Saccharomyces cerevisiae S288C: one gene and its partner. The protein of the gene in region 1 interacts with the protein of each later gene in a pairwise test. Each region holds a gene or a part of one and is shown on either strand. Other genes may lie near its edges.

What was found.
Region 2: the proteins of GDI1 (region 1) and YPT53 interact in a two-hybrid assay, tested with the Saccharomyces cerevisiae proteins (2 studies listed by BioGRID).

What each region holds. Positions count from the first base shown.
Region 1 is NC_001137.3:436,427-453,077, reverse strand, and holds GDI1 (Gdi1p), read right to left. Parts: upstream 13,463-16,651; coding exon 12,107-13,462; downstream 1-12,106. Other genes in the region: EMP65 (Emp65p), read right to left, coding at 1-1,513; RNA polymerase II subunit B1 CTD phosphatase RTR1, read left to right, coding at 1,835-2,515; YER138W-A (uncharacterized protein), read right to left, coding at 3,500-3,604; YER137C-A (gag protein), read left to right, coding at 4,054-5,376; YER137C (uncharacterized protein), read left to right, coding at 11,259-11,705; YER135C (uncharacterized protein), read left to right, coding at 14,734-15,126; YER134C (Mg-dependent acid phosphatase), read left to right, coding at 15,275-15,811. UniProt on the Saccharomyces cerevisiae protein: Regulates the GDP/GTP exchange reaction of SEC4 by inhibiting the dissociation of GDP from it, and the subsequent binding of GTP to SEC4. Plays an essential role in the yeast secretory pathway.
Region 2 is NC_001146.8:441,792-457,632, reverse strand, and holds YPT53 (Rab family GTPase YPT53), read right to left. Parts: upstream 7,766-15,841; coding exon 7,103-7,765; downstream 1-7,102. Other genes in the region: Rho family GTPase RHO2, read right to left, coding at 490-1,068; NST1 (Nst1p), read right to left, coding at 1,503-5,225; YNL092W (S-adenosylmethionine-dependent methyltransferase), read right to left, coding at 5,560-6,762; phosphatidate phosphatase APP1, read right to left, coding at 8,259-10,022; YNL095C (uncharacterized protein), read left to right, coding at 10,793-12,721; 40S ribosomal protein eS7 RPS7B, read left to right, coding at 13,318-13,461, 13,807-14,235; PHO23 (Pho23p), read left to right, coding at 15,275-15,841. UniProt on the Saccharomyces cerevisiae protein: Required for transport in the endocytic pathway and for correct sorting of the vacuolar hydrolases suggesting a possible intersection of the endocytic with the vacuolar sorting pathway.

The DNA of each region.
Region 1 (16,651 bases):
TCTCTATACGATTCTCTTTATTGTAATCAGAATGTAATGCAATTCTTGTAGACACGTCGACTTTACCCATACCGCCCGAGAGTAAACCTGGGACGTATTCTTCTTCAGTTACAACGGTATTGAAAGCTTGGTCTCTGAACCGTTGCTCTATCCGTTTGCTCCATTTGATTAAAATAAGATCTAGTGTAAATTTTGCCAACAATGCTAGTAAAAACACGGATGCCCCCATGAAGAGGATCCTAAATAGCGAAGGAAGGTAAGAAGGTTCCGATGATTTAAAAAGTGTTGGCCTCACCATTACAATAAAAAGGACAACGAATGCAGGTAAAGGCAATCCCAATCTATCTTCTAATTTGTGCGTTCTCGTAGAATAATCCTTGTATATTATATAATAGAACTTATCATATATCTGTGGGCGGATCCGATTGAATTTTGTGATGTAAGCATGCTTTGCCCAATCCACTAACACTTCACTCCCTACCACGCTTACCATCGGCCCACAAAGTATGTTAATGACGATTGATAATGTGGAACGTGGACTCCAGAAATTGATGCTTGTGTTCGATAATGAAGATGACCACGACTGGAGGTTCCTAAGGCCAGTTATTGACAATAATAAGGTCAACTTAAATCTTTCCACTACGTCTGCAATGGTTATTTGGAAAAATCCCTCCTTATCAAATTTCTTTAAAACCGATGATTTGATTTCTGCAAATTGCATGGATAGTAATAAAGTTAGCAAGGCATTGGAATACGAATTCACGGCTATGTTTAATGAAATGGCCTGGTAAACCAATACATAGCCGTGTATAGTCACATATGTCAAGCTCATTGACACTAACAAACATTTATGCAGTAATATCCGTTCCGAGTTTTTCCTAGAAAGCATAACCGTTAATAAGCTCTGGCCCAAACTTGCCAACATTTTGTCCGCCATTTCCAGTACACTGAATAGCATGTACAATTTCATCGTACTTTGCCGTTTTATCCTGTGATATAGTTTTGAGGTGTCTAGTTTGCTCAACAAAATGGATGAAATCACGATGATAAAAATCATACATCTCTCTTTATATTCTCTTGAAGTTATTCTATATCGAAAGGGTATTTTATTCTTATGCCCAGACCGTTGTTGCAGGCGATAATGCTGACGATAACTCTTGAATTGCTTTACATATCCCTTTATCAGTCGTATCGGTAATACAGTAAAGTAATACAAAAAACAGTCCAAGCTTGTTAAAAGTGCAAAGAGCATGAACTTTTCCAGGAACATTGGTATTCTTATCATGTTGAGTAATTGTTCCAATTCATAATCATCCTCATGTTCTTCTTCGCTTTTTGCAGCGCTACTTTCATCTTGCTCTTCAACAATATTGTGTCTATCTATAGTATTCCATAGGAAGGACCACTTTTTGTCTAATCGTGAAATTATATGTATAGCTGACGGCGCACTATTTCTTCTCAGTAAACGTTTTTTAGCTGTGTCCTTCGCTACTGCCGTATCCTTGTGTTGCATGGGAGTGCTGCTTTTTTTTTGGATTACTCGGTAGAATAATATATACACCTTATAGATCGATCAGGTCGATTCAGAGACAGCATCGTGATATTAAAAGTAACTAATTTTCTTATTTCATCTCTTTCCGATATTTTTGTCCGAAATAGGAATACTACAATACAAAATCAGCTGGCATCCAGAAGTGGTCAAAAGCAATGGAAAAGTGAAGAAAGAGACACATTGAGGAGCGAATTGAACAATTCATAAACATTCCCAGTCTAAAATATCTATACATCGGCATCTTAGTTTGAAAAATTAGGACGAAGTTAACAAGAATAAGAAATGGCGACGATTGAAGATATTAAGGAAACGGCGTTAATCCCTTTCCAAAAGCACAGGCAACTTTCCATGCATGAAGCAGAAGTTATAACTTTAGAGATTATAGGCTTATTATGTGATTCAGAATGCAAGGATGAGAAAACATTGAAATATTTGGGCCGATTTCTCACACCGGATATGTATCAAGACCTAGTAGATGAGAGGAATCTAAACAAAAGATGCGGATATCCTCTTTGCGGTAAATCGCCAGAAAGAATACGTGATCCATTTTCAATGAATGATACTACTAAGAAATTTTTATTAGAAAACAATCCGTATGCATATTTGTCGCACTATTGCAGTAAGTTCCATTTTAGATGTTCCCAATTTTATCAAGTGCAACTATCTGATGAAGCTTTATTTGCAAGAACAGGGGTTCACCTATTTGAAGATCCTGAACAGGACAAACACGATATAGATTTCAAAGTGACTTTGTTTGAAGAGTTGCTAAGAGAAAAGGCATCCGAAGAAGACATTAAATCATTGATATCCGGTCTCAAAAAGTTAGGATTAAATCCTGACAGTGGGACTACAGAAAAAGATGATACTGAGCTGGAAGATGATTTATCGAAGTGGTTGGCACAAATCAAAATTGTTGAGAATGATAATCCCAGCATTTTGGGTGATTTCACAAGGGAAGATTGACCGGCTATATCAATGCACCTAAATTCAGAACAGATTATGGACGTTTCATTGGCTGAAAATAGTTAATTCATCATCATAACTTAAAATACTTTACAGCGCCAGGACAAAAATACTGTTATTCGTGTATGTCAAAATGTGGTTCTCAATTTTCTACAATGTAGCGCTTTTATAACTTTGCTATAATTCACTTTGAGTCACCACGTAGCAATTCTTTACATACCTATTGGTTTCTCTGAAGGGCCATCCATATACGAAAGTGTTGCTTCAGAGTTTTGGTTCGAAAATCAACAAGTATTTAATGTGTTGAAGTATCGCGACGTTCCTTCCTTTTGGGCAATAACGGTAGAACTGGCCGTCCAGCATCGAATGGATACAATAGAAGGAAAATTTGGCAATTCAGAACAGTAGATATTTATCTAAGACGACCCAACAGCTAGGACGCTGCAAGAAGAATCGTTCACCTTCAATTTATTATTTGTTTAGCAAGACGAGAGTATGTGGGATTTTTGTGTGATAATTTAATGAAAGTTAGATAGGTGTCTGACTTCGATCTTTCGTTAAACTAATATTCTTAGTTTATAGAATACACTTGAAGCTCTCTTCGAGAACATAGGAAACCCACAGAAGGAAGTCGACACTTCTAGATAATAATATTGTCTCTTTTTTTTTTGTTTTGTATGTTATCAATAATTATCCTACTATTTAGTAAATCTTTTACGTTTCGGCATCCATGGAATTTGATAACCAATTCTCATCATGTATGTCATCTTCCTAGTTTGTGTAGAACGATATACTTATAAGTATATACTAGTCAATTCATGATTTTATTTGACCCTGTTAGTCCATCAATATACGCCATCTTTTTACTAATATATATAATGGCGTTAAAATACCGGTAAATCGTTCAATTGACTATAAGCAGTTTCTTCATTTGTAGAGAATGTGGATTTTGATGTAATTGTTGGGATTCCATTGTGATTAAGGTTATAATATTAGGTATGTAGATATACTAGAAGTTCTCCTCGAGGATTTAGGAATCCATAAAAGGGAATCTGCAATTCTACACAATTCTATAAATATTATTATCATCGTTTTATATGTTAATATTCATTGATCCTATTACATTATCAATCCTTGCGTTTCAGCTTCCACTAATTTAGATGACTATTTCTCATCATTTGCGTCATCTTCTAACACCGTATATGATAATATACTAGTAACGTAAATACTAGTTAGTAGATGTGTTGGAATAGAAATCAACTATCATCTACTAACTAGTATTTACATTACTAGTATATTATCATATACGGTGTTAGAAGATGACGCAAATGATGAGAAATAGTCATCTAAATTAGTGGAAGCTGAAACGCAAGGATTGATAATGTAATAGGATCAATGAATATAAACATATAAAACGGAATGAGGAATAATCGTAATATTAGTATGTAGAAATATAGATTCCATTTTGAGGATTCCTATATCCTCGAGGAGAACTTCTAGTATATTCTGTATACCTAATATTATAGCCTTTATCAACAATGGAATCCCAACAATTATCTCAACATTCACCCATTTCTCATGGTAGCGCCTGTGCTTCGGTTACTTCTAAGGAAGTCCACACAAATCAAGATCCGTTAGACGTTTCAGCTTCCAAAACAGAAGAATGTGAGAAGGCTTCCACTAAGGCTAACTCTCAACAGACAACAACACCTGCTTCATCAGCTGTTCCAGAGAACCCCCATCATGCCTCTCCTCAACCTGCTTCAGTACCACCTCCACAGAATGGGCCGTACCCACAGCAGTGCATGATGACCCAAAACCAAGCCAATCCATCTGGTTGGTCATTTTACGGACACCCATCTATGATTCCGTATACACCTTATCAAATGTCGCCTATGTACTTTCCACCTGGGCCACAATCACAGTTTCCGCAGTATCCATCATCAGTTGGAACGCCTCTGAGCACTCCATCACCTGAGTCAGGTAATACATTTACTGATTCATCCTCAGCGGACTCTGATATGACATCCACTAAAAAATATGTCAGACCACCACCAATGTTAACCTCACCTAATGACTTTCCAAATTGGGTTAAAACATACATCAAATTTTTACAAAACTCGAATCTCGGTGGTATTATTCCGACAGTAAACGGAAAACCCGTACGTCAGATCACTGATGATGAACTCACCTTCTTGTATAACACTTTTCAAATATTTGCTCCCTCTCAATTCCTACCTACCTGGGTCAAAGACATCCTATCCGTTGATTATACGGATATCATGAAAATTCTTTCCAAAAGTATTGAAAAAATGCAATCTGATACCCAAGAGGCAAACGACATTGTGACCCTGGCAAATTTGCAATATAATGGCAGTACACCTGCAGATGCATTTGAAACAAAAGTCACAAACATTATCGACAGACTGAACAATAATGGCATTCATATCAATAACAAGGTCGCATGCCAATTAATTATGAGAGGTCTATCTGGCGAATATAAATTTTTACGCTACACACGTCATCGACATCTAAATATGACAGTCGCTGAACTGTTCTTAGATATCCATGCTATTTATGAAGAACAACAGGGATCGAGAAACAGCAAACCTAATTACAGGAGAAATCTGAGTGATGAGAAGAATGATTCTCGCAGCTATACGAATACAACCAAACCCAAAGTTATAGCTCGGAATCCTCAAAAAACAAATAATTCGAAATCGAAAACAGCCAGGGCTCACAATGTATCCACATCTAATAACTCTCCCAGCACGGACAACGATTCCATCAGTAAATCAACTACTGAACCGATTCAATTGAACAATAAGCACGACCTTCACCTTAGGCCAGGAACTTACTGAATCTACGGTAAATCACACTAATCATTCTGATGATGAACTCCCTGGACACCTCCTTCTCGATTCAGGAGCATCACGAACCCTTATAAGATCTGCTCATCACATACACTCAGCATCATCTAATCCTGACATAAACGTAGTTGATGCTCAAAAAAGAAATATACCAATTAACGCTATTGGTGACCTACAATTTCACTTCCAGGACAACACCAAAACATCAATAAAGGTATTGCACACTCCTAACATAGCCTATGACTTACTCAGTTTGAATGAATTGGCTGCAGTAGATATCACAGCATGCTTTACCAAAAACGTCTTAGAACGATCTGACGGCACTGTACTTGCACCTATCGTAAAATATGGAGACTTTTACTGGGTATCTAAAAAGTACTTGCTTCCATCAAATATCTCCGTACCCACCATCAATAATGTCCATACAAGTGAAAGTACACGCAAATATCCTTATCCTTTCATTCATCGAATGCTTGCACATGCCAATGCACAGACAATTCGATACTCACTTAAAAATAACACCATCACGTATTTTAACGAATCAGATGTCGACTGGTCTAGTGCTATTGACTATCAATGTCCTGATTGTTTAATCGGCAAAAGCACCAAACACAGACATATCAAAGGTTCACGACTAAAATACCAAAATTCATACGAACCCTTTCAATACCTACATACTGACATATTTGGTCCAGTTCACAACCTACCAAAAAGTGCACCATCCTATTTCATCTCATTTACTGATGAGACAACAAAATTCCGTTGGGTTTATCCATTACACGACCGTCGCGAGGACTCTATCCTCGATGTTTTTACTACGATACTAGCTTTTATTAAGAACCAGTTTCAGGCCAGTGTCTTGGTTATACAAATGGACCGTGGTTCTGAGTATACTAACAGAACTCTCCATAAATTCCTTGAAAAAAATGGTATAACTCCATGCTATACAACCACAGCGGATTCCCGAGCACATGGAGTCGCTGAACGGCTCAACCGTACCTTATTAGATGACTGCCGTACTCAACTGCAATGTAGTGGTTTACCGAACCATTTATGGTTCTCTGCAATCGAATTTTCTACTATTGTGAGAAATTCACTAGCTTCACCTAAAAGCAAAAAATCTGCAAGACAACATGCTGGCTTGGCAGGACTTGATATCAGTACTTTGTTACCTTTCGGTCAACCTGTTATCGTCAATGATCACAACCCTAACTCCAAAATACATCCTCGTGGCATCCCAGGCTACGCTCTACATCCGTCTCGAAACTCTTATGGATATATCATCTATCTTCCATCCTTAAAGAAGACAGTAGATACAACTAACTATGTTATTCTTCAGGGCAAGGAATCCAGATTAGATCAATTCAATTACGACGCACTCACTTTCGATGAAGACTTAAACCGTTTAACTGCTTCATATCAATCGTTCATTGCGTCAAATGAGATCCAACAATCCGATGATCTTAACATAGAATCTGACCATGACTTCCAATCTGACATCGAACTACATCCTGAGCAACCGAGAAATGTCCTTTCAAAAGCTGTGAGTCCAACCGATTCCACACCTCCGTCAACTCATACTGAAGATTCGAAACGTGTTTCTAAAACCAATATTCGCGCACCCAGAGAAGTTGACCCCAACATATCTGAATCTAATATTCTTCCATCAAAGAAGAGATCTAGCACCCCCCAAATTTCCAATATCGAGAGTACCGGTTCGGGTGGTATGCATAAATTAAATGTTCCTTTACTTGCTCCCATGTCCCAATCTAACACACATGAGTCGTCGCACGCCAGTAAATCTAAAGATTTCAGACACTCAGACTCGTACAGTGAAAATGAGACTAATCATACAAACGTACCAATATCCAGTACGGGTGGTACCAACAACAAAACTGTTCCGCAGATAAGTGACCAAGAGACTGAGAAAAGGATTATACACCGTTCACCTTCAATCGATGCTTCTCCACCGGAAAATAATTCATCGCACAATATTGTTCCTATCAAAACGCCAACTACTGTTTCTGAACAGAATACCGAGGAATCTATCATCGCTGATCTCCCACTCCCTGATCTACCTCCAGAATCTCCTACCGAATTCCCTGACCCATTTAAAGAACTCCCACCGATAAATTCTCATCAAACTAATTCCAGTTTGGGTGGTATTGGTGACTCTAATGCCTATACTACTATCAACAGTAAGAAAAGATCATTAGAAGATAATGAAACTGAAATTAAGGTATCACGAGACACATGGAATACTAAGAATATGCGTAGTTTAGAACCTCCGAGATCGAAGAAACGAATTCACCTGATTGCAGCTGTAAAAGCAGTAAAATCAATCAAACCAATACGGACAACCTTACGATACGATGAGGCAATCACCTATAATAAAGATATTAAAGAAAAAGAAAAATATATCGAGGCATACCACAAAGAAGTCAATCAACTGTTGAAGATGAAAACTTGGGACACTGACGAATATTATGACAGAAAAGAAATAGACCCTAAAAGAGTAATAAACTCAATGTTTATCTTCAACAAGAAACGTGACGGTACTCATAAAGCTAGATTTGTTGCAAGAGGTGATATTCAGCATCCTGACACTTACGACTCAGGCATGCAATCCAATACCGTACATCACTATGCATTAATGACATCCCTGTCACTTGCATTAGACAATAACTACTATATTACACAATTAGACATATCTTCGGCATATTTGTATGCAGACATCAAAGAAGAATTATACATAAGACCTCCACCACATTTAGGAATGAATGATAAGTTGATACGTTTGAAGAAATCACTTTATGGATTGAAACAAAGTGGAGCGAACTGGTACGAAACTATCAAATCATACCTGATAAAACAGTGTGGTATGGAAGAAGTTCGTGGATGGTCATGCGTATTTAAGAATAGTCAAGTAACAATATGTTTATTTGTTGACGACATGATTTTATTCAGCAAAGACTTAAATGCAAATAAGAAAATCATAACAACACTCAAGAAACAATACGATACAAAGATAATAAATCTGGGTGAAAGTGATAACGAAATTCAGTACGACATACTTGGCTTAGAAATCAAATATCAAAGAGGTAAATACATGAAATTAGGTATGGAAAACTCATTAACTGAGAAAATACCCAAATTAAACGTACCTTTGAATCCAAAAGGAAGAAAACTTAGCGCTCCAGGTCAACCAGGTCTTTATATAGACCAGGATGAACTAGAAATAGATGAAGATGAATACAAAGAGAAGGTACATGAAATGCAAAAGTTGATTGGTCTAGCTTCATATGTTGGATATAAATTTAGATTTGACTTACTATACTACATCAACACACTTGCTCAACATATACTATTCCCCTCTAGGCAAGTTTTAGACATGACATATGAGTTGATACAATTCATGTGGGACACTAGAGATAAACAACTGATATGGCACAAAAACAAACCTACCGAGCCAGATAATAAACTAGTCGCAATAAGTGATGCTTCGTATGGCAACCAACCGTATTATAAATCACAAATTGGCAACATATATTTACTTAATGGAAAGGTAATTGGAGGAAAGTCCACCAAGGCTTCATTAACATGTACTTCAACTACGGAAGCAGAAATACACGCGATAAGTGAATCTGTCCCATTATTAAATAATCTAAGTTACCTGATACAAGAACTTAACAAGAAACCAATTATTAAAGGCTTACTTACTGATAGTAGATCAACGATCAGTATAATTAAGTCTACAAATGAAGAGAAATTTAGAAACAGATTTTTTGGCACAAAGGCAATGAGACTTAGAGATGAAGTATCAGGTAATAATTTATACGTATACTACATCGAGACCAAGAAGAACATTGCTGATGTGATGACAAAACCTCTTCCGATAAAAACATTTAAACTATTAACTAACAAATGGATTCATTAGATCTATTACATTATGGGTGGTATGTTGGAATAGAAATCAACTATCATCTACTAACTAGTATTTACATTACTAGTATATTATCATATACGGTGTTAGAAGATGACGCAAATGATGAGAAATAGTCATCTAAATTAGTGGAAGCTGAAACGCAAGGATTGATAATGTAATAGGATCAATGAATATAAACATATAAAACGGAATGAGGAATAATCGTAATATTAGTATGTAGAAATATAGATTCCATTTTGAGGATTCCTATATCCTCGAGGAGAACTTCTAGTATATTCTGTATACCTAATATTATAGCCTTTATCAACAATGGAATCCCAACAATTATCTAATTATTCACCCATTTCTCAAGATGATAGTTGATTTTTATTCCAACATCATTAATAAAAATCTCAGACTTTCATGGGTGGTAGAAAAGCATCTTCCATGGTTTGTTACCTTCTTTCCAGTAAAAGTATTTCATTAAAATTTGGTCTCTTGGCCCAGTTGGTTAAGGCACCGTGCTAATAACGCGGGGATCAGCGGTTCGATCCCGCTAGAGACCATATTTTTTTTGAAAATCTTTTTGTCTTTTTGTTCAACTTAAAGAATGAATGAATGCCAACTCAGCTTTGCGGGCCTCCAATATGTACCACATGTTGGTAATTGTTCATACTTTTTTAAAAATATAGACAAATTTTAAGATAATTGTTGGAATTACATTGTTGTTAAAGGCCGCAATATTACGTGGAACGAATATGCTGCAATTCTCCTCGAGAAAAAATAGGAATCTACAAAAAGCGAATTGATAGCTCTACATAATAATGTTACTCTATCTTCTTCCTTTTATACTTTGTCATTCTTTATTTTATTACATTATCAACCCTTGAATTTCAGCTTCCATTAGATTTGATGACTATTTTCAATGTTTATGACATCTTCTTATATTGTATATGATAATATATTAGTAGTATGACAGCACACTAGTAGCAGCAGTACTAGTCGATGGATGATCGTTTATTCTTCTTTCAACACGTTCTAAGTATTCTCATTTTATCCTTCTTATATTCCGCTGCCGCCTGTCGCTACTCACTCTACAACCAAGGTAAGGACTACCTACAACAAGAACATGATGATAAACATTGACATGCACCTTCCAATCGTCATTTATATTCGAAAAGAACAAGAATAGGACATTAAATCAACTTACTCTTCCAACATCCCTCATTGGGACGGTTAATTAGTTCAAAAAAATGTTAAAAAATATGGTTCAGGACACACTCCATCCCCGAGGGAACGGCCACAATGTGCGAGTAAATCCTGATGGCACCGCCAAATTAAACCGCCGAAGCGATCAACTTGCACAATTATCCGACTGATATGTGCTATCCCGGCCGCCTCCATCACGGGTCACCTTTGCTGACGCTGGATAAAACTCCCCTAACAGCGGTGAAGGTGGAGCCCCTAAGGACCCAGAACTACCTTGCCGCACCAGACAGAGAGACGGATTCCTCACGCCTCCTGCCAACGGGCTGCCCGCAAAGATCGATTTATTATAGCCGGGACACTTCAGAACGGACTCTCCCGCCTCCGGGCAGACAGCTCTGCCCAGGACAAATTTACGACGGAGGAAAGACGGTTGCCACAACAGGGCACGGTGCGGAATAGAGAACTATCCCTTGCCCAAAGGGCGTGCAATCCGTGTCTAGCCGCGAGGAAGGATTTGTTCCTCGGCCAGAATTCTCAACGTATCCCATCCCACCAGAAAGCCATTACAGCCTAGCACAATTGGAATAAACTTTCGATTTTATACTCCATTTTCTTTCCTTTACACAGAAAATTTGTCAGAAGATTTTCAATGAAAAGTTCCTGGCGATGAGGTTGACACTAATACAATATAGTCATCGTAAGTTTGTTAAAAGAATACCGAGGGTTGTTATAACAAGGAATGTGTGAATCATCAAATAAGACTGAAAATGATATAGTCAGATTGTCACAAGCTATGGATGTCCTGGCTAAGTTGATCATTTCAAAGCAAAAAGATGGATCACAATTACAAGTTGAGTACGAGCATAAGTTGAAAGAATTAGAGAAATTCATTAACCTACTACTGGGATTGCATGAAAGCACTGTGGGAAGTATGATGAATACTAGTGTTCTTGACATGGTACTGCGGAATGGAATAGAGATCATGGAAAAAGACGATCAAAAATATGCCCTGATACCGATTAAAGCCAAGGAAGAGGCAGATAAAACTACGAGCACTATTCAGGGAGTAACCAGCAAAAAGAGTAGTAAAAAGAAAAAAAATAAGATAAAATGTTCATTTTGTCACGAGGCTGGCCACACAAGGGCACACTGCGGTGCGAGACTGACAGTTATACCCAAGAAATAATGAAGGGATCATCGAAGCATTAGACCTACATCTACCTTACTAAGATTGTAAGTACATAGCATGTGTACTGATGTGTTCAGTAGCATTCTTCCATATATTATACTACATAAGGTATGTAAATTTATGTATTTATATATGGAAAAAAGAAATTGAAAGAAAAGAAAAGGAAAGATACTTAGTTATGAATCAATCAGAATACGCATATAACAAAAAAAAAAAGTGGAATGAGAAAGGAATAAAGGATAATCTTTTCCCCTATATTTTTGTATTGGTTTTTTTTTGGCAAATATTTTCTTGTTTTCTGTAATTCATGTCATTTATTGGTAACTCATTTGCCAAGAACATTATCGGAAAAAATAAGTTTACCCTCCAATTGCTGCTTTAGTCGTAAAGGTATGAATTTACTGCTTTTCTTGTTCTTGTCTTTGTTTTAGAACTAATGGGTGGCCTGTTACTCTGAAGTAAATATCTTTAACATCGTCAGTCATGGATTCGAAATGAGAGGATGCGTCGTATGATCTGGATAAGTAAATGTTATCCTTAGAGCCGTCTTCTCTTGGTTCAAATAATTCGGCAATTCCCATGAATTTTTCTTCGATTGGTCCCAGAAGTTTGAAAGCAGGCTCTAATTCTATATGTGGTTTATCAGTTTCAATGATTGTAGAAATAATTGCTAAATAGTGACCCTTGGAGCAAACGTTATGCGCATCTGAAACAATCGCAACGTATATATCGCTTTTCCTTCCCAGTTGGCTTTGTGGGATAATAATTTGTAAAGAATCCGCGTTACTGGTGTTCGGAACTGGATGGTTAAGAATACAGATGGCTCTAATAACTCTTTGACCAGTAGATTTACATTTTTCGGGAAAATAAGTTGGATCAGCAATAACCAATGGGGCCTTGAAAGTTCCCAGCTTAGTCTTGACCCCTTCAAATTTTCCTGTGTCTTTTTTATACAATACTTCATCAATTGGAGTGTCTAGCATGTAAGTACCACCGTAAATAGCCGACAAACGAGCAAATCCTTGTGGAAGTTCGCCTAACCCATACATAGGATACAAATAAGGTGATTTACCGTAACGGGCAACACTTTGGCAATATAACAAAATCCTCTCAAACGATGGCCTAGCAGGTTGTTGTAAGTAGTCATCATTGGTCCATAAAGCCATTGCATGACCGATGAATTCTTTGGTAGAATTGCCTAACCCAAATTTATAATACACTTCATCCATGGTATTCTTGTCTAAGTCTAATCCTTGATGAGTGGACAAGTCATCTTCTTTGTAAGAGCTAATCCATTCTAAAAATTTCTTCATTCTACGTTTTTCAAAAATACCCATCAATGGCGATGAAATGGCTTCTATTTCATTAGCTGGCACTTTGTAAATTTTGCCTTGCTTAAAAACGTAGGAGCCAGAAACTTGCTTGAAATCGACATATCTGGTCACATCGGTATGTATTAAAATATTTGTCAGCTCACCATTGGCCATCAGGAATTTAGGAATTAAGTCGACATTCCAATCTCTATCTTTACCAAACTTGGACTCCCGTTCCTCTTTACTGATCGGATTTTGTTTAAATTTTTCATACAATTGAGATAAGGTCACAGAAGCAGCTTCGCCACCATAATGGTCTTGCTTGTCAATATGTAATACCTTTTTTCCATCTACAGAGAGTAAACCAGATAAGATACATTCGGTAATACCGGTACCTAAGACAATCACGTCGTAGTCAGTGTCTATTGTTTCTTGATCCATTGTGTTATGCTATATAAGTGGTTATTCACTAACAGTTATGATGGAAGGGGAGTAAAGAAAAGGAAAAGACTAATTGCAGTCCTGCTTTGAAAAATATCCTTCCTTGAAAAAAGACTATGTTAGAAATTTGATGGGACGACGTCTCAAGCAAGAATGAAGTAGAACCTTTTCTACTAACAAAATCGGGATAAATCAGCCGACGTGTTGAAACTACATCTACAATCCCTCGCTGAAGCTTCCCACGGCCAAGATTTTGGAGCCCACAGGAGAGGGGAAAACACCGCCAATGTGAGATAAACGATTCAAACATAAGGGTAACCTAAAGATAACGGTTTTGAGCGTTTACGGCCTACTTTACTATGCAACAGCAGATGTTGGATAATAGAGAAGTTTGAGTGATAGATTGTAGAAAGTACAAGAATATGGGTGTATTACGGGAGTTAACAGAGGTATGTACTTTATCAAATGTGGTCTGATATTTTTTTCTTGAAAACAGTCTTGGCTATGTAATTTTTTAAGTTTTGCGCCTTTAGCTCATGTTTAGTTTCTGGTGGGGGAAGCGGTAATTATTTTAAAGTAGCCAACATAAGCAAAATATATGGAGAAAAAGAAGAATACCGTCGGAACCGCTAAAAGTATGTTTTTGTTACAGGATTGTAAAGCTTGTATCGCTTGGCAAGAGTTTGATTGGCCATTCTTGTAACTATTAGTTATTAAGCGGATTTGTCTCTTTTCAACTAGTTTCGAAGATGTCTCAAGAGATTGGAAGTAAACATTGCTTAGTATGAAAGGAATGCCCTTTGTAAATTAACGTAAATTATAACGTTTTCGAAAAAAAAAATTGATTTCGCCCAGGATCGAACTGGGGACGTTCTGCGTGTTAAGCAGATGCCATAACCGACTAGACCACGAAACCTAATTTGTTGAAAAAGTTTCATTAAAAAATAGAATATATCTACAATTCTTAAGATTTACACATGAAATTGTGGAGATGAAGCTCTAAAATATCATTGCTCAGTTATATCGTGTAATTAGTGTATTATCACGTACGGTGTAAAGAGGATGACATGAAAATCGAGAAATAGTCATCAAACCTCTTATCCCGAAAATGACAATACGTCAGGAACATATACACCACTTAATGAAGGGTAATTGATTATATCCCAATAAAGTGAATCTTAGTTTATTCGAAGTTAGTTGTCGATTGTCGTTTGAATATCCCCTTTGAGTTTAACGACCACAAATGCAAGGTTGATTAAAATCTTTCAAGCATGACATGGACTTTAAGAAACTTACATAATTCACAGAAAAAGGTCTTGGTCGATATTACAATTTGGTTAGCACTTTCTCCATACGGTGACATGGCGTTATTTACAAGTTTTGAGAATATAATCGGCGAATATTATAGGTACTCTATACTACCGTTACATCAAAACTTACACAAGTTACTATTCACTCTTTTTCTAATATGCCTCGCTAGTTGGAAAGAGGGAAACAGATCTTGCAGATATAAATGGCAGAAATTTGTGTGCAACAAGCTAAATTCTCCTGAAACAAATTTCGTACCCATTCGCACCTCAGTGAATAAGAACTCTAAAATGATTGTTGAAAAGCAGATAAGCATTCATATTTCTTTAAAGTGTATTGTTTACAAAGAATACTAAGGGATTGAGTAGAATATTTTTCACGCACTAGAAGAAGGACCTGCCGAAAAGGAGACCTTCTCGAGAAACAAGCATTTTTGTCCTTAAACTTACAAAGAGAACAATTTTGTTACAAATCCTGCTCCAAAATAGTCTCAACGCGTTTATTATGACTGGATACCCTGACGTGGCCGCCTTCGATTTGGACTACACCATTTGGCCCTGCTATTGTGATACCCATTTGCACGGTCCCTTTAAGCCAGTTAAAAGTAGTAATGGCGAAGTTCTCACAATTATATGTAGAGATGGTTACGAGCTCACAATCTACAAAGATATCCCACGTATACTAGGTGATCTTAAAGATAATGGAGTTAAGTTAATGACCGCGTCACGAACGTGGGCACCTGAGATTGCCCAGGAAATACTGAAAATATTCAAGGTCAAGTATGCTGGTGTCGTAACCCCGTTGGCCAACCTGTTCGATGAATTTCAGTGGGGAGAAAGAAGTAAAATTGGCCATTTAAGGGACGGTTTGAAAGATCTTTATAATACCAGCGATTTAAAATCGAAAAAGATTTGTTTATTTGATGATGAAAGTAGAAACAAAGAAGTGGAGAAATACGGAGTGAAGTTTGTTTATGTAAGAGACCCAGAGAATGGACCATCTTGGAAACTTTATCAAGATTACCTGAGTGGAAAGGTTTGAAGGACTGCGCACTTAGTTCACAGAGCATCATCTGAGCATAAGAAGAAGTCATTACATTTATGGGAAGATGATACATCACTGTTAAAAATTATATATTTGTGATTTATCAAAATAGAAGCTCACTTTTAATTTAAAAACTTTAACCAATCCGCCTCAGCCTTTGTACTAATTTGTTCTTCCAAAAAGAGTTTTCATAACTTAACCATATATCTATGTATAAAAACCTGGTTCATTCACCACTTTTCACTACTAAGTTCAGACAAATATTTTCAAATTTCAGTGCAAGAAGCTCTTAACCATCTGCTTTTCTCCAATGATCTTCATACACGTTGTAATGCTACTGATAGCGTTTGAATTTTAAGTGTACGAAACATTATGTGACGAACATGAACCTTAACCCATTATTTTTAACAGAGTAGTTTAACTACGTTAACCAAAAAAAAAGAATAACTTTTTTTCGCAGGCAAATATGCATTTCTTATTCCAACACTATTGATTCCTGCCATAGATTGATGATTTTCCTAAAACTAGAATGTAGAACAAAAATACTCAAATGATATTCAAGATCAAAAAAGAATCTCCTGCGTTCAGCGGTCTTTCGAGCGAATAGTAGGATTTCAGCGCCTCGCTTGATAGACGATAGTTGGTTTTTATTCCAACAGTATACCAATTTACACCTCGTATACGTTCCAGTGTGAATGTACTCTTGCAGAAGGAAATGTTAAACGACAAATTCAGAATGTTCTGAATTTGAACTAAAGATCTATTAATTGAACTTGATGAGGAAGTTATATATATGAGGAAGTTATATATATGAGCAAATAATATGAGTCGTGACGA
Region 2 (15,841 bases), on another chromosome or scaffold:
CGACGTGGTTGGATTATATGAAAGATGATCTCCTCTTTTCTTTTCTTTTTGTCTCCTTCGGCAATTCAATAATATGTTTACATTATACTGAAAAAAAAAAGACGCGTCCTACTGGCGCGTCTTTCACTCATCGCCTCGTAAGGAATTCGAATACAAATAGCGTAAATAAGTAAATAAGTATATAAACGAAAAATAATCAAACTAGGCAGTTCCGTTTAGCTCATCGGCGCAGTACCTTGAGCTATGGTTTGATGTGCCATTTTCTTATATCCGTCGGAAATTTTGCTTCTGGTAAAGGCTCTCGAATAAGAATCTGTAGGACATTAACGAACAAACATATCGAATGGGTTTGTGTTTTATACATGCACTATCGATAAGCCTTTTTAACTTATTCCATTATATCTATGAAATTTGATTAAAATTATAATACGGTATTGTTTTTCCCTCCCTTGCTAAAAAGATAATGTATCATTTCAGTGTAAGTTTTTTTTATAAAATTATGCAACAGTTAGCCCCTGGTTCCTTCTTCATAAGCAAACTGGTTCTTGTAGCTACTTCAAAGACATCATCCACACCCTCACCAGTCAGTGCACTACATTCCATGTATTTCTTGGCCCCAATGGCCCTTGCAACTTGTTTTGCATCTTCAATGGGAACCATTTCATCGGTAGCATTCTCTTTAAAATGGGCTTCTTGCCTCAAATCTTTTTTCAAGCCTACAAGAACGATTGGTGCGTCAGGACAATATCGTAATGCCTCATCCGCCCATTTCGTCCTTGCGTTAATTAGTGATTCAAAATTGTCTACAGCAAACCCAATTAATATTATATCTGCTTTTGAATATGAGAATGGACGTAAACGTTCATATTCCTCTTGTCCCGCTGTATCCCAGAGCGTTAAGGACACTTTTATTCCGTCAACTCTGCAATCAGTGACATAATTCTCGAACACTGTCGGATGATATTGTTCAGGGAATTTTCCTAATGTAAATACATATAGTAAAGAGGTCTTGCCACAAGCACCATCACCAATAATAACAAGTTTCCTTCTAACGGCCTTTTCAGACATAGTACGGGATCAAAAGCACAACCAAAGCAGAACGTTTCAGCAATTGATGTCTGCACACAAATCGTTTACAGCGGTATGCAAGGGCAGTTTAATTAAGACTTAATCTGGGGACTTTTGGTTCAAATTATCAGAATAACTACCTTTGGAGAGTTGCGCTTTGAATAATTGTTGTTGAACAATTGATATATGTTATACCTAAAAAAGAGTGTACCGAAGTCTATTATCATATTCACATTCCTGCGAAAAATGGAAATTAAATGCCGGGTAAGATGTATGGGGTGTCGCAGCCTCACCTCTAAAGCCACGACGGTAAGAAAAACCGACGCGTGGCTCACATCGAGTAGAGAGATGTACGATTGTTTAGTGTCTCTTCTGAAATTTCGTCGAATTATGTATGTATGTAAATATTTTTGGCCCTGCGTACCGGAGCAAATTTAAGACGTTTGCGTAGTTGAAGAGGCAATTGGAAAACTAGCCCTTGTGGAGGTATGAGGCCTTGACGTAAATGGTGTAGCAGTTGGATCGTTCAATCCACTAAAGAGTTGATTCAGCAACCCCTTTGAGTGGCCAGCGGGAGTTTGTCTCGCAAATCGAACGTGGGTAATGGATCCATTGTTATCAGTAAAGAATTCGCAATTGTAGGCTCCTTGCATGCTTATCAATTTGTTGATAAACGTCGAGTAATCCAAGTTAAGTCCTACTAAATTTTGGAATAGTGTCCCGATAGCAATGTAGGGGTTTAAACTATCTTGTGGGGAAATAGCTAAATAAGTATTGTAGATGCTATCCAGAATGTGGCTTTCATCCACTCCACTCGAAATTTGAGGGGATTGAAGGACGTTGCTAGTCAAATATGGTGAATTGTATTGACTGTTACTAGACCAGATATTTGATGCCATGAACGCAGGGCTATCTTGCGCAGTACTAGTTATATTGCGACCGGAAAGCTCGGATTTATTCATCATCGGAGTGGTGCTGCTGTCCCAGATAGAAGTTCGATTTGGAAACGATTCAACGCTTCCTAATGTAGGTGCGAGCAGCATACCGCTTTGTATACTGCTGTTGTTAAAGTTTCCTGCAGTCGACGGTCCCGAAAATGAGCTTTTTTGATCATTCCACACAGAACGCTGTGATGGGGGGAATCCTGATGATGAAAGTGATGTATCTGCGAACCCGGAAGAAGAAAGCATGCTAGTTAAAGTGTTCAACTCGTCGGTAAACGATTTACGGTGAGTACCACCATTAGGTAGTCCAAAAGATGGCATTGTAGCTTGAGGACTAGATTTATGGGCTTGTGATTCCATTTCTGAAGTTTGAATAACCGGTGGTTTACATGTAGGATTTATGGACATTGTATTTGTCAGACCACCCCAAGATGATAAACCAAAGTCATTTGGCAATAGCTTAGTTGGCGATGAATTATTATGCATCAATAGACTTGTATTTTCCAGAGTTTGTGAGTTCATTAAATAGTTGTTTTCAGTCTGTAAAGAAGATTTTGTAGCCAAGTCTAACGCATTCGGAATAGTTGTAGTTCCAAAATGGTTGTTTTGATTACCTGGCTGTGGCAAGTGTGATTGTTCCATAGCAGGCATCTGGTTGTTAGTTGAAGGAAGAAGTAGATCATGAACGTTAAAGCCTGTGGGTGAAACTGGTTTGGATGCAGCCACGCTATTAACCATTTTAAGTATTTCATCGTTGATACTGCAACTATTATCCTCTTGGTAGTTAGTCATGTTGGGATGTGATTGAGATGAAACAGGGTTGCCAACTCCATTCTCAGTAAAAGGTTTGGCGGAAAGTATGTTCGCAGATGTTTGTTCTTCGTTTAATTTCTGTTTTCTTAGCGCATCCTCTGCAATTAATCTTTGTCTCTCTTCTTCTTCTTTTTCTTTCTGTAGCTTTTCTTGTTCTAGCCTTTTCTGTTCTCTAATACGTTTCTTTTCTTCTTCCCTCTTGCGTTTTAGTTCCTCTTTCTGTTTCCGTTGTTTTTCTTGCATTTCTTCTCTCCGCTGCTGCTCTTCCAATCTACGCTTTCTCTCCTCGTCTTTCTTCCGTTTGGCTTCTTCAACCTTTTTCCTTTGAGCCTCTCGTCTTCTCATTTCACGCTCTTCTAATTCCTTCTTTAGCCTTTCTTTCTCTTCTTCCCTTTTTCGTTTTTCTTCCTCTTTAGCTAACTGTTGCAGCCTCTTCTTTTCTTTCTCTTTTTCTCTTTTTTTCTGCTTTTTTTCTTCCTTCTCTCTTTTCTTTCTTTTTTCTTCTTCTAGTTCTTGTAGAAGTTTTAGTCTGTTATTATCTGCCTGTTTCTCATGATAAGAAGCCATTATTCGACTTTGAAGCAACTTTGTAATGGCTATCTGAATCAATTTCCGACCTTCTTCTAAACGGTCAGTTTCATCAAGACCGCTGTCATAAGTATCTTCTTCGTCATCGCCTTCATTTTCATCCTCTTCCTCTGGCTCATCTTCATCCCCATCTAATATATCATCATCGCGGTGAAAGTGCTTATGAGGATCATGCGGTAATTCTATATCGGAAATATACTCTTCTTCACTCAGTTCATCTTCGCTGTGGGTACTGGTACTATGGTAGTGATGGTGAGGGTGGTTCTGTCGTTTATGATCGTGGTCATAACTTAAATGTAATGTTTCACGTATCCCGTTGCTTTTTTCATCATGCTCTGGTTTTTCGACTGCCTCTATTCCTTCATACTCAGAAACCTCTTCGCTATCTTCAGCATATTCTGAATAGTCATCATAGTCTTCCTCATCTTCATCTTCATATATAGAATCAGTATCTAACGAAGTATCCTTCGATTGAGATGAAAAGCACGAGCTTAAAGTGGCTGCTAGAACGGATGGACCTAATTCCCCATCAAATTTATTTTTAAAGGATTGAATTATCAACTCTCTGAAAGATTTTTTGTCTCTCCCCGACATGAATCGTGTAAATAGCTCCTTCTCTAATTGTGACACATCTTTGAATTTCTTACTTGCGGTATCGTACGCATTAGTCATCCTTTCAGCAATGTTGCGCTGGAGGTCGGCATACTCATCTTCTGTAAGTGGTTTTCCACTATGCAGCATTGTGGTAAACTCCTTTGGATCAGTCAAATCTGTACTAGATGCTTCATCTTCAGTGATGCTGTCGTCTTTTTTCGATGCTTGTATCTGGCCATCTCGCACAAAGTCTTCGATTGCATTAAGAAATCCTTGCCCGTTACTATTCATTAAGTCATCAGTCAGTGCTCTAATATTCGGATACATCATCATTTTTTGTACATACTCCTCTGCTATTTTGGGATGTGATGAAATAAACGTTTTTGTGAAGTTGGAATATTTTTGTTGCAACTCTTCATCGCTCACAGAATTGAAATTTGCGGAAATTTCACTAGAAGTTTTGTTGATGTGTATATTGTTCAAATTTTCTTCAAGTAATGAGGTATTATCCGCCGTTTCATTATGCGCTTGTTCTTGTTTTGAAAGTTGCTTTTGTTTGAAATGCAGCACTTCCTCTTTCAAAGAGCCAACTGTACTTGACGAAAGGAAATTTTTTACAACTTCGCCCTTTGTAGAAGATAAATCATTTTGCTGTTGATTTTTGGAAATCTGTAGCTCCTTTATTATGCCTAAGTGGAATTTGATAGGATTGGTTTCAGGGTCTTTATCCTTATCCATGGCATAAAGTGTATTGTATATACGCTCCATTTCTTGATCCATTGCTAAATGGCGGCGTCCACAAACAGAGCAACTACAACTATGATCGTCCTGGTAATTCCTTATGACATTAAATACTTCCTCCTTTTCGATTCGTAGAATAGTTTTCTTTTCTTCTGGCGATAATGATTCCCAGTGAGAATCTAGAGTAAAAGCTAAGGAAGAAGCAGAATCCATACTATCCTTATTATGAGTCAAGTTCGCCGTACGTTCTTTCTTATCATCGTCTGTATTTATTGGTTCCACGATGACATCGCCATTGGGCGCTCTTTTTATTACTCTTGAAGTTGGGTAATCCGATTCTGTATGATACAACTCTGGCTCCATTCGAGGTACTAGCTGTGTAGGATTTATACTTTGTTCAGGATCAGAGTTGCCATTTTTCTTGTTGTGTTGCTTGGATTTGTTCTTTCTTCTCTTACTCTTGGAGTTTGGGGGCATCTTTGGCAATTTCCCCAATTTTTCACTTATAAAGATTGCTTATTGTTGAAAGTAATGGCCTTAAGCGATAAATGCACCTGGAAACTGAAACGATAAAGGAGCTTATAAAGTGAATCAATTATGACAAATCACTCTTCTTCTAGCTTTGATATATAGTTCAAATTGAGGGCTTTATGTATTACTGGATCTAGGCTGATAACCAGTACTGTCAATATGGTAAACAGAACATAGCGAGAGGGAGCAAAAAGAATTTTCCGCGCGGGTAACATTCTGAGTTCTCTAAAACGGCTGTGTCAGCAACTTCTATATAGTGCAATTAGATTATTGTGTAAGCTTATGATTCATTGGTGGGGTTCGACTTCAGGATCCAATAGTGGCACATGTATCCAGGCATGGCGCAACTTTCTGGACCCGCGTAGCGGCCATACCCACAAAGTATTCCTGACTCTCTCCGTATTAATTCAAAGTCCAGATGATTTGTGGCAATGCTTATGATATCATCGCTAGAAAGCTCTAAACCCATCAGTGGTGTATAGTCATTGATTTTATCTTGAAACCCAGAGTAAGGGTTAACTTCGTAGGTAGTTTCAACCCCATGGTCATTTTCAAAATGATAAAGCAATGGGCCGAAATTGCACCAGATTCCGCCTGGCTTCAAGACGTGGCCAATAGTATCCAAATAATCCAAGATGTTGGATCCCGTATCTATAAAAAAGTTTGTTACTACAACGTCTTTGGAGTTTTCAGCTTTTGCTCTACTTAGTTGCATCCTTCGCGAAAATGTATAATGTGACGAGATTTTTGTGCCTTGATTACGACCATAACAATCAACAAACGAGCCAGCACATATCGACATGGACCCCATACCTTTATTTGAAGACCACGCTTCTATGTCCGGCACCTTAATGGGAGACAACTGATCTTCAATTTTTTTCCAGTGGGAGAAACAGTGTATGAAGGGATAGATAATAATTTGGTTTTGGAGTAATCCTGCATTCAACATGTATTGAGATACAAGCAGCATGTGATATGAAAATTCGTTACCTTCACAATTATAGCCCATTCTGCTAAGATCCACGAGAAGGCGTCCTGTGCCGCAACCCGGTATCAAAATGTCGGCTTTTGGGGGTGATAGGGTCTTCAAAAACGGTACAAGCCTCGAATTTAAGCAATTACGTTCAGAAATGGCCTCTGCGGACCACTCCCTATAAACTTGCGTAAGTAAAGAGCATGTTTTACTCATATCTAAATCGTTTGGTTGTACGATTTCTCCTGGCTCAAAACTTATTGATTGCAGGGCATATTCGGCGACACTTCTAAAGAACTTGCCATTTTCTATAATTGCGGCTTTCAGATTAGCTAAATATTTTGTATAGTTTGGTACCATGTCTTTTTGACGATCTGAGATCGATGCCCATTTTTTCACTCTCAAATTGTAGATTTCCTTTAGGGCATACTCTTCATACTTAAGAAATGATATGATCACTCGAGCTACAGCTTTATTCTCCCTTTGATTATCAAATTCATTCTCGTCCATAGTCAAAATTACTGATATGTGTTCACCTCTAATTAATTTTCAGATCCTCACCAATTTTTGCCGCTGGTACACCAAAATAACAGTAGCTGATTTTGTATAAATTACAAACTATAGTACGTAAAGGCCTTGTGATTCTCGATCTGGCGATGAAAATTCCCGCCCCTAAAAAAAGTGTATTTCTTGCGGCTAATGGAAGTGAAACAAAAAAGTGCTTGTTTTGCAAAAGTAATTGAAAATTTCCAGTACTATTCTTCCAGCTGTTGTTACGAACTGTTCTTTTCAATGGCAAGCTTCGCTAAGACGCTGAATATGCCGCGTTTGCTGTTGTTTTGCTTGCAGTTTAGCAGTTACAACCCCCAGTCTCCCTAGTACTTTCTACAGTCGTTGATTCGAGATCGATTCGTTGATTATCGGTAATTGTGCGATCATGAGTAGAGCTTTGTCGTGTATTTTGTTCAGGACATGGTACTTTTTCGCCTAATGTTTGAAATATCTGGTAAATATTCTCACCAGTCTTAGCGCTTGCTTCGAAATATAAGAGGTTCTCTCTTTCACAGAGATTTTGTACAGCTGGTGCTTTCATAGCCCTATTTTCATTCTCGTCATCATTATTCAGCAAATCCATTTTGTTCCCCACCAAGGCAATAACGATATCATGTCCTACCTTCTCGTGTAGTTCTTCGACCCAGTTTTGAGCCTTATAAAAAGACCCTTCATTAGTAACATCAAAAACTACCAAAGCAGCTTGAGCATTTCTGTAGTACATAGGCGCTAAAGGAGCAAATCTCTCCTGGCCTGCCGTATCCCATATTTCAAATTTAATGACCTTGCCATCCCTTGTAATTCTCTTTGTTAAAAATGCGGCACCAATAGTAGGTTCTTTGCTCTCTTTAAAATCGTCAGATACAAACCTGAGGACTATTGAGGACTTCCCGACAGCAGATTCTCCGAGTAAGACTACTTTGATAGTTAATGTTGGAATAGCTGCTGTATGTTTATCCATTCTACTTAACTTCGATGCTGAAAAAATGTAATAAATAATTTGAATCTAACTCTATTTGGTCAATATACGTGCATTCAGAAGGCCTTTCCCGACTTATAATATGACAATATTTAATAAATTCTACGGATTTATTTTATTTACATGGGAAGAGGCTTTGCAGTTTAAGGACCCCTTCCGCCCCGGAAATTGACATTTTAGGGTATGGTTGGTCACCAAGGCGTACGCGATAATCAGTTGGAATGGAAAGATAAACTGAGTTTAGGGTATTTTGTAAGAGTGTATTTGATCGGCAACCGAAGATTTTCTTTACTCTTGACTTCATAAAATTTACATATTTACATTTAGCCCTTCTATAACCGTTTTTTTAATTTCCCGATCTGATGAAAAGGATGCAACATCACTCTAAAACGTTGAAAATGGCTCCAATTCATAAGGTCACTTTAGTGTATACAATTTTTAAACTCCCTCCCGATGTATATAAATAACAGTGTATTTAGTTTGAATACTTCTCCCTAATTCTGCGAATACTGTCTTCCAAACTTAATGCCGGATCCGAAAAGAACATCAATGTGGTGTCTTGATTGCTCAATTTTTGAATTGAGTCCATTACTCTTCTCTTCCATTCATCTGCTTTTTTATCCATGAAAGCACCATACATGCCATAGTCATTTTGTGAGGATGGTACATAGTAAGTATTAGCGTCTAAGTTAGGTAACTGTCTGTTCGGCAACGGTGGTGGGGCAACTCTTTTAGCATTGTTCTCATCTTTATTACGGCGTGACATTCTTATACTTTCGGTTTGCTCTTCTGTCAACGATGGCTTTTGAGTGGAAGGAATGGGAGGTGGTGGTGGTCTTCTCCTGGTACGTACGGTAGACTTGGTCATTTGCATGGGCCGTTGTTGTAATTCGATGATATTGTTCACTTCATTCATAACTTCTTCATCATGCGATGGGACATCACTCATGGAATTAGAGCAACATCTTATATAAATAGCCAGAATCTGGTTCGGAAATTGTAAAGCCGTAGTGGTATACGCTTCTAAGTCATGTTCACCAGAATCACCGACCAAAATAAATTTTTTTTTGGGAAAATCCTTTAAGATATTTGCAATCGGCTGAATTTTTCTATTCGCACTTGAAGTCATGATAGTGGAAAAGAAATTACCAGAGTATTGTTTCAAAAAAATTGGACCCGGAGGAAAATTGGCGCAAATATATTGTTTCAAAAGAGTAAAAGTTTGGATGGGTGAATTAGAAACATAAAAGAAATCAACGTCTGCGACATCATGTAAAGTTTTGTACCAAAGAGGAACACCATCTATTACCCACGATTGAACATCATGGATGAAAACATTACGAAACATCGATCTCCTGTCACCCGTAACGCCAGTATGCTTGATGGTGTCGTCAATATCACTGATTAAACCAATACCGTAGGGCGAGACATAATTGGCCGGAAATGTTTCAGATATGGGATCTGCATGGCCTTCTATAGGGGTATCTAATGTAATATTAATCTTGGACGGTAAAAAATCTGTTTCTGCCTTGATTAGTAAATTACCATAAGAGTCCGTGGTACCAAAAAAGGAAGCCGTATCCCCTCTGAGCTTATCTTTGGGCAATAGGTCAACCACCACTGGAGTATTAGGAACTTTTTTGGACAGGAATCCTTGAATTCTCTCATTCAGAACATCTTCCTCTTGGATGCCCATATGTGAATACCTATTTTCGCTCTTTGAAGACAAAGAACTTTCTATACTTGATTGGGAGTCGTTTAAATCTCCAGAATCCTCTTCGAGATGAGGGGGAACAACAGGTGCAACATCGGCCTCCGCCGTTCCAGTTCTAAGATATTGTTTACAAAGAGAAAGCAACCACCTATTTCTCCTGCTTGTAGGATTTCCTGGATAAGAAACAGCACATCTGACAGTAGTTTCAAAATCTTTCCGAGGCGCACTCAAACCGTCAGGGTCAACCAAATTAGTTGTGGTATACGTTGGAAAATATGTTATCGTGGTATTATGTGGCAATTCCATAGGCAAGTCATTATAACCTTCGAAGGAATTCGTAGTGCTCCTGATGCCATCCATTGTCTTTTGAGAAATGGATGACGTCAGGTTAGGAATATAAACATCCTTTGTGGTTCTTATGAGATTCATAAACCGTTGTTTCTTACCCATTCGTGGGTCTCCAGAAGTAGGACCGCTAGTAGCAGCAGTAGAGGAAGAGCTTTCATCGTAACCTTGACTATTCATCTTTTTATTCCTTCTCCAAAGCAATTTTTTCCCCCTTTGACGGAACTTATAGCCAAGTTTCAATGTCCTTGTCTGTGTTAATGGTCCCAAGAAAAGACGGCGATTACTAGACAAACTCTTTATAGCCAACAAACCGACAGAGCTAGAGAAACATATGACACTGTTTATTGAAAGCCTTGTGCAACCCACTATTTGCGATATATATGCCTTAATGATGCTAAATTTTTGCCCTGGATCACGAATAGTATAACAGCTTCGTATACTTTATGTCTCGTGGGCATAAAAAGCCAAGAAAAGATACACAAACCAATCACAATGAACAAGCTAACCGTAAAGGCGTTGCCACCCTATTCTAATGCTTTATCTGTCCGAGAATTGTTGGTAACCTCGTTTGGAAAGTTAGACCGCGCCCTCATCATCATTTGCGCGACCACGTGACCCGCTGCGGCTGCGGTTTGCGCGAAGGTTACAATATCTTCCTACTCGATGACTTTTAACCTTTGGATCAAGAGCACAACGTTCTGCCTGAACTCTTATGCTCATTTTGTGCATACAAGTTGCCTTTTTGTGCCATATTAGGATATATTGCCTTCTGAATAAAACTATTCAATTCTCATCACTTCCGCAGTTAGAGAACGCTTTTATGGCATATTGTTACAAATCATCGCTAAAAAAGATATAAACAGTGACTAATTAGCGTCAGCGCAATTTTTTTGGAGAAGTTATAGAATCAAACAGAGAAAGGGATTGAAACCTCAAATTTTCATCAGATGGTGCACATTACTCTGGGTCAAGCGATATGGGTGTCAGTTAAGCCGATAATCAAGATTTATTTGATTATAGGAGTCGGCTTTCTGATGGCTAAAATGGGAATTCTTACGGTTGAAGCAACAAGAATTATTTCTGATATCGTGCTAACAGTTTTACTACCCTCTCTGTCATTCAACAAGATTGTCGCTAATATTGAAGATAAAGACATCAAATCTGTGGGAATTATCTGTCTGTCTGCCCTCCTAATATTTGGTTCTGGGTTCTTTTTTGCATACGTTGTTAGGCTATTCCTGCCTGTTCCTAAACAATGGTACGGTGGTATTCTTGCCGGTGGTATGTTTCCAAATATAAGTGATTTACCAATTGCATATTTACAATCTATGGACCAAGGGCTTGTATTTTCGGAAGAAGAAGGTAACAAAGGTGTGGCTAACGTCATTATATTTCTGACAATGTTTCTAATTTGCATTTTCAATTTGGGGGGGTTTCGACTGATTGAAAGCGATTTCGAGTACAACGACGATGAAAGCGCCGTTAGGGTTTCAGAAACGACAAAGACACAGCCCGCAGTAAGTGCAAACACAACTAATACAGATACTAGCGAGCGTTTCTTCTCAAACGAACAACAGCTTTTCAACAATAAGTACACCGCTCGCGATAGTCTCACTGAAGCTATAGGTACAAAGGGTGAAAACGCAGACGTACCACCAATTTCAAGGAGATCAACAAATAGTATAGCTCCCCTGTCACTACCAGACACTTCTTCGAATTCAAAGATTACAAAACCAGTTCAGGTGAAGGCAAGAAATACTATTGCGTGCACTCAAAGCGAAGAGTCACAGGCAACTCGTGGTTCAAATCCATTAGATAGCCAATCATCTGCTTCAACAATACATTCTTATAATACGTCAGAGAGTTATGAGAGTAGCATAGATACTATGAGAGCACGTAGAACCGCGAGCCAGCCGAGAGCTTACAATACTACCACACTCCTAGAAGAGAACTGTTTAGATGAAAAATGCCCAAAAAATATGTCTATGGCGGCATTGGAACCTATCCGCTCCATTGATATGCGTGCATTACCTTCTCAAAATATACACCATCTTATCAGAGAGTACTCCAACGTTGACCAGTATGGTCATCAAAGGAGGAATTCCAGTTTACGCGGCGCTGATATGAATGATGTGCATTCAATTAGCTCAAATTCCACTTTACAGACTATAAAAACTGCTAACCTAACCAGGATCTTAACATCAGATGCCACTGTAAGTAAAAAGGATATTGAAACATCCGGCGAATCATTACCACAGTGGATGAGAAAATTTTCATTAACTCCATTACTTGTGTTTTTCCTAAAGAATTGTTTGAGACCGTGCTCTATGGCCGTGATCATCGCCCTAACTGTTGCATTTATCCCATGGGTCAAGGCTTTGTTCGTGACTACCGCTAATACTCCTCACATAAGCCAAGCTCCTGACAATGCACCACCATTAAGCTTTTTCATGGATTTTACAGGTTATGTCGGTGCCGCATGTGTTCCATTTGGGTTGATATTATTAGGAGCAACTTTAGGAAGATTAAAGATTGGCAACCTTTATCCTGGATTTTGGAAAGCCGCTGTGACACTCGTCATTTTGAGACAATGTGTCATGCCAATTTTTGGTGTCCTATGGTGTGATCGGTTAGTGAAAGCTGGATGGGTTAATTGGCAAGATGATAGAATGCTACTATTTGTTATAGCAATCAGCTGGAACTTGCCAACGATGACTACCCTTATATATTTCACCGCCAGTTTTACGCCGCCAGAAACAACTGCGCCAATCCAAATGGAGTGTGTTTCATTTTTCTTAATGCTGCAATACCCGCTAATGGTTGTTAGCTTGCCATTTTTAGTGTCTTACTTTCTGAAAGTACAGATGAACCTTTAGTTTTAATCCATTAAACAAAAAATTATTACCACTCCTAATCACTGTTTTAGGGTGGGTTAAAATTAACATTCTCCATTTTTATATAGAACTAATAAAAAACACCTACTTATAGACACGACCAAACTTTCCACAACCTTTCATCAGAGAGAAATGTTGATCAAGTTGAATGCGTGAAAGTAGCAATTCGAAACAACAACTACCTGTCATTCTGCATAGTAGTAGTTACGAAAGGCACAGAAAATAACAAAAAAAAAAAAAAAGTCAATTTTCTACGGTCTCCATCCGTACCTCTTTAAATCCGTACATTATTGTTTTGCTTAATTTCAATATTTCGGAAAAAGCGAGCGCCCTGGTAAAATGTGGTTCAAGCCTGCGAGCCTTTGCTTGGTAACTCACCAAATGCAATTCAGTCACGTTCCACACAGTTTGGGTTTCCAGCCTGGCTTTAGGGAAGAATGGGCTCACTAGGCGTTCATAATACGCGGAGGGGGAAATACCAAATGCTATTGATTATGGTTAAAATATGTGTTATTTGACTTTGTATATACAAACAGAAGAGAAACCAACACACTAAAGACTAGACACATAACTGACCAATGTCCTCTGTCCAATCCAAGATCTTATCCCAAGCTCCAAGTGAGTTGGAATTACAAGTCGCCAAGACCTTCATCGATCTAGAAAGCTCCTCTCCAGAACTAAAGGCTGACTTGAGACCATTGCAAATCAAATCTATCAGAGAAGTATGTTAAAAGTTATATAATTTGGAAGCAGCAACATTGTGATTTCTTCTAAAGGGGTTCTTTGCAGTAATTTTTTCAAAAAAGAGTGATTTTGAGCAGTATCTGTATGAAATTTTCATGTGTTCGAGAAAAATAGTAATTCCGAGAGCTGTCAATACCATGAACGTTGCGATGAGCCTTTGAACTATAAAGGCCTCCTTGGTCAGTACCAATATCGATGAATAAAATAGAAGCACGCGAAAAAGACCTTACCCCAAGGAGAAGAATCACAAACCCTTTTTTGTTATGAATGAACCAATTCAGTTACTAACTTTATTTCAACGCTGCTTGATTCTTATTGTTTAGATTGATGTCACCGGTGGTAAGAAAGCACTAGTCCTTTTTGTCCCAGTTCCAGCTTTGTCTGCATACCATAAGGTCCAAACCAAATTGACCCGTGAATTGGAAAAGAAATTCCCTGACCGTCATGTTATTTTCTTGGCTGAAAGAAGAATCTTGCCAAAACCATCTAGAACATCTAGACAAGTCCAAAAGAGACCAAGATCCAGAACTTTGACTGCTGTTCACGACAAGGTTTTGGAAGACATGGTTTTCCCAACTGAAATTGTCGGTAAAAGAGTTAGATATTTGGTTGGTGGTAACAAGATCCAAAAGGTTTTGTTAGACTCCAAGGATGTTCAACAAATCGACTACAAGTTGGAATCTTTCCAAGCTGTCTACAACAAGTTGACTGGCAAACAAATTGTTTTTGAAATTCCAAGCCAGACCAACTAAATAGTGAGATAACTATCATTCTCATCATTTGTCATACTTAAAGAAAATAATATTAAGAAAAAATAATAAAAAAAGAAACATAGTTATGAGAATACAAAAGGAGGTTTCCAAAAAGTGGGCTTTTTTAATTCGAGTAAAATAATTATGAATGTATACTTAAATATATTTTGTATCTGTCAATATAGAGATGCTTTAATTGGTGTTTTGACATTTTGGAATACATATTGGGTTGATTTCCCAAGTTCTCGCTGCAATCAGATAAAAAGGAAAAAAAATAATGGTTGCTAAGAGATTCGAACTCTTGCATCTTACGATACCTGAGTATTCCCACAGTTAACTGCGGTCAAGATATTTCTTGAATCAGGCGCCTTAGACCGCTCGGCCAAACAACCACTTATTTGTTGAAGAAAAAGCATTATTTATCGCTAGACAACGATACGTCCATCAACAACCGTTAGTTCTTTCACATTGATATGCGGATTACTTATCTGAAGGAAAGGAAAAAGGCGTGGAACAAGTGAGCATTAACATAACCATCTGAAATCTTAGATGATCCCAAGTATGTGTAATTAGATCCGCCTCTTCGCCCAGCACATTGTCCATGCATTATCTGCTTACCTCTACGCGTACCTTGACATGGCGTGTTACGTGTTTCAACTTTGTATAATCAGAATTTCATTTGAGTATATTTTACAAGTCAAAAGCCCAAATGACGTATACTTGAAATAATTGAGGCACGTCCAATTGTGAGTGGCAAACCTTTTTTTCGGTATTCTAGATAGAGCTAATCGCGTATTTGCAATTATAGTTTACAATTCTTAGACGATTTCCGAAGAAAGTTAAAAATGCCCTTGAAAAAAAAATATGTAGGAAAGAGTGCATGCACATGAAGAAGAAAGAAAGAGCTAGGGAAAAAACGAAAAAGGAGCCTAAGGAAAAGAGTTAGGCGTTTACAACAGGACGAACCCGGAAGGAGAAAAGTTTGTAGTCTTGCAGTATCACAAACAGCAACCACGTTCATAGTCTGAAATACGTACAAATGAGTTCACCAGCGAACCTATTCCCTGGATTAAACGACATAACTGACGTGCTGGAGGAATTCCCACTGGCCACCTCCAGATATTTAACATTACTACACGAAATAGATGCAAAATGTGTGCATTCTATGCCGAATTTGAACGAGAGGATAGATAAGTTCTTGAAGAAAGACTTCAATAAAGATCACCAAACACAAGTAAGACTGCTCAATAATATCAACAAGATTTATGAAGAACTGATGCCATCGCTGGAGGAGAAAATGCATGTCTCATCCATTATGCTGGATAATCTAGACAGATTGACGTCCCGGTTAGAATTGGCGTATGAAGTCGCAATCAAGAACACAGAAATTCCTAGAGGTTTAAGACTGGGTGTGGACAACCATCCAGCAATGCACCTCCATCATGAACTAATGGAAAAAATAGAGAGCAAATCAAACAGCAAATCGTCGCAGGCACTGAAGAGCGAATCAAGAAGAGAAGCCATGGCTGCCAACAGGAGGCAGGGCGAACATTACTCCGCCAGCACACACCAACAAGACGACTCAAAGAACGACGCAAACTACGGA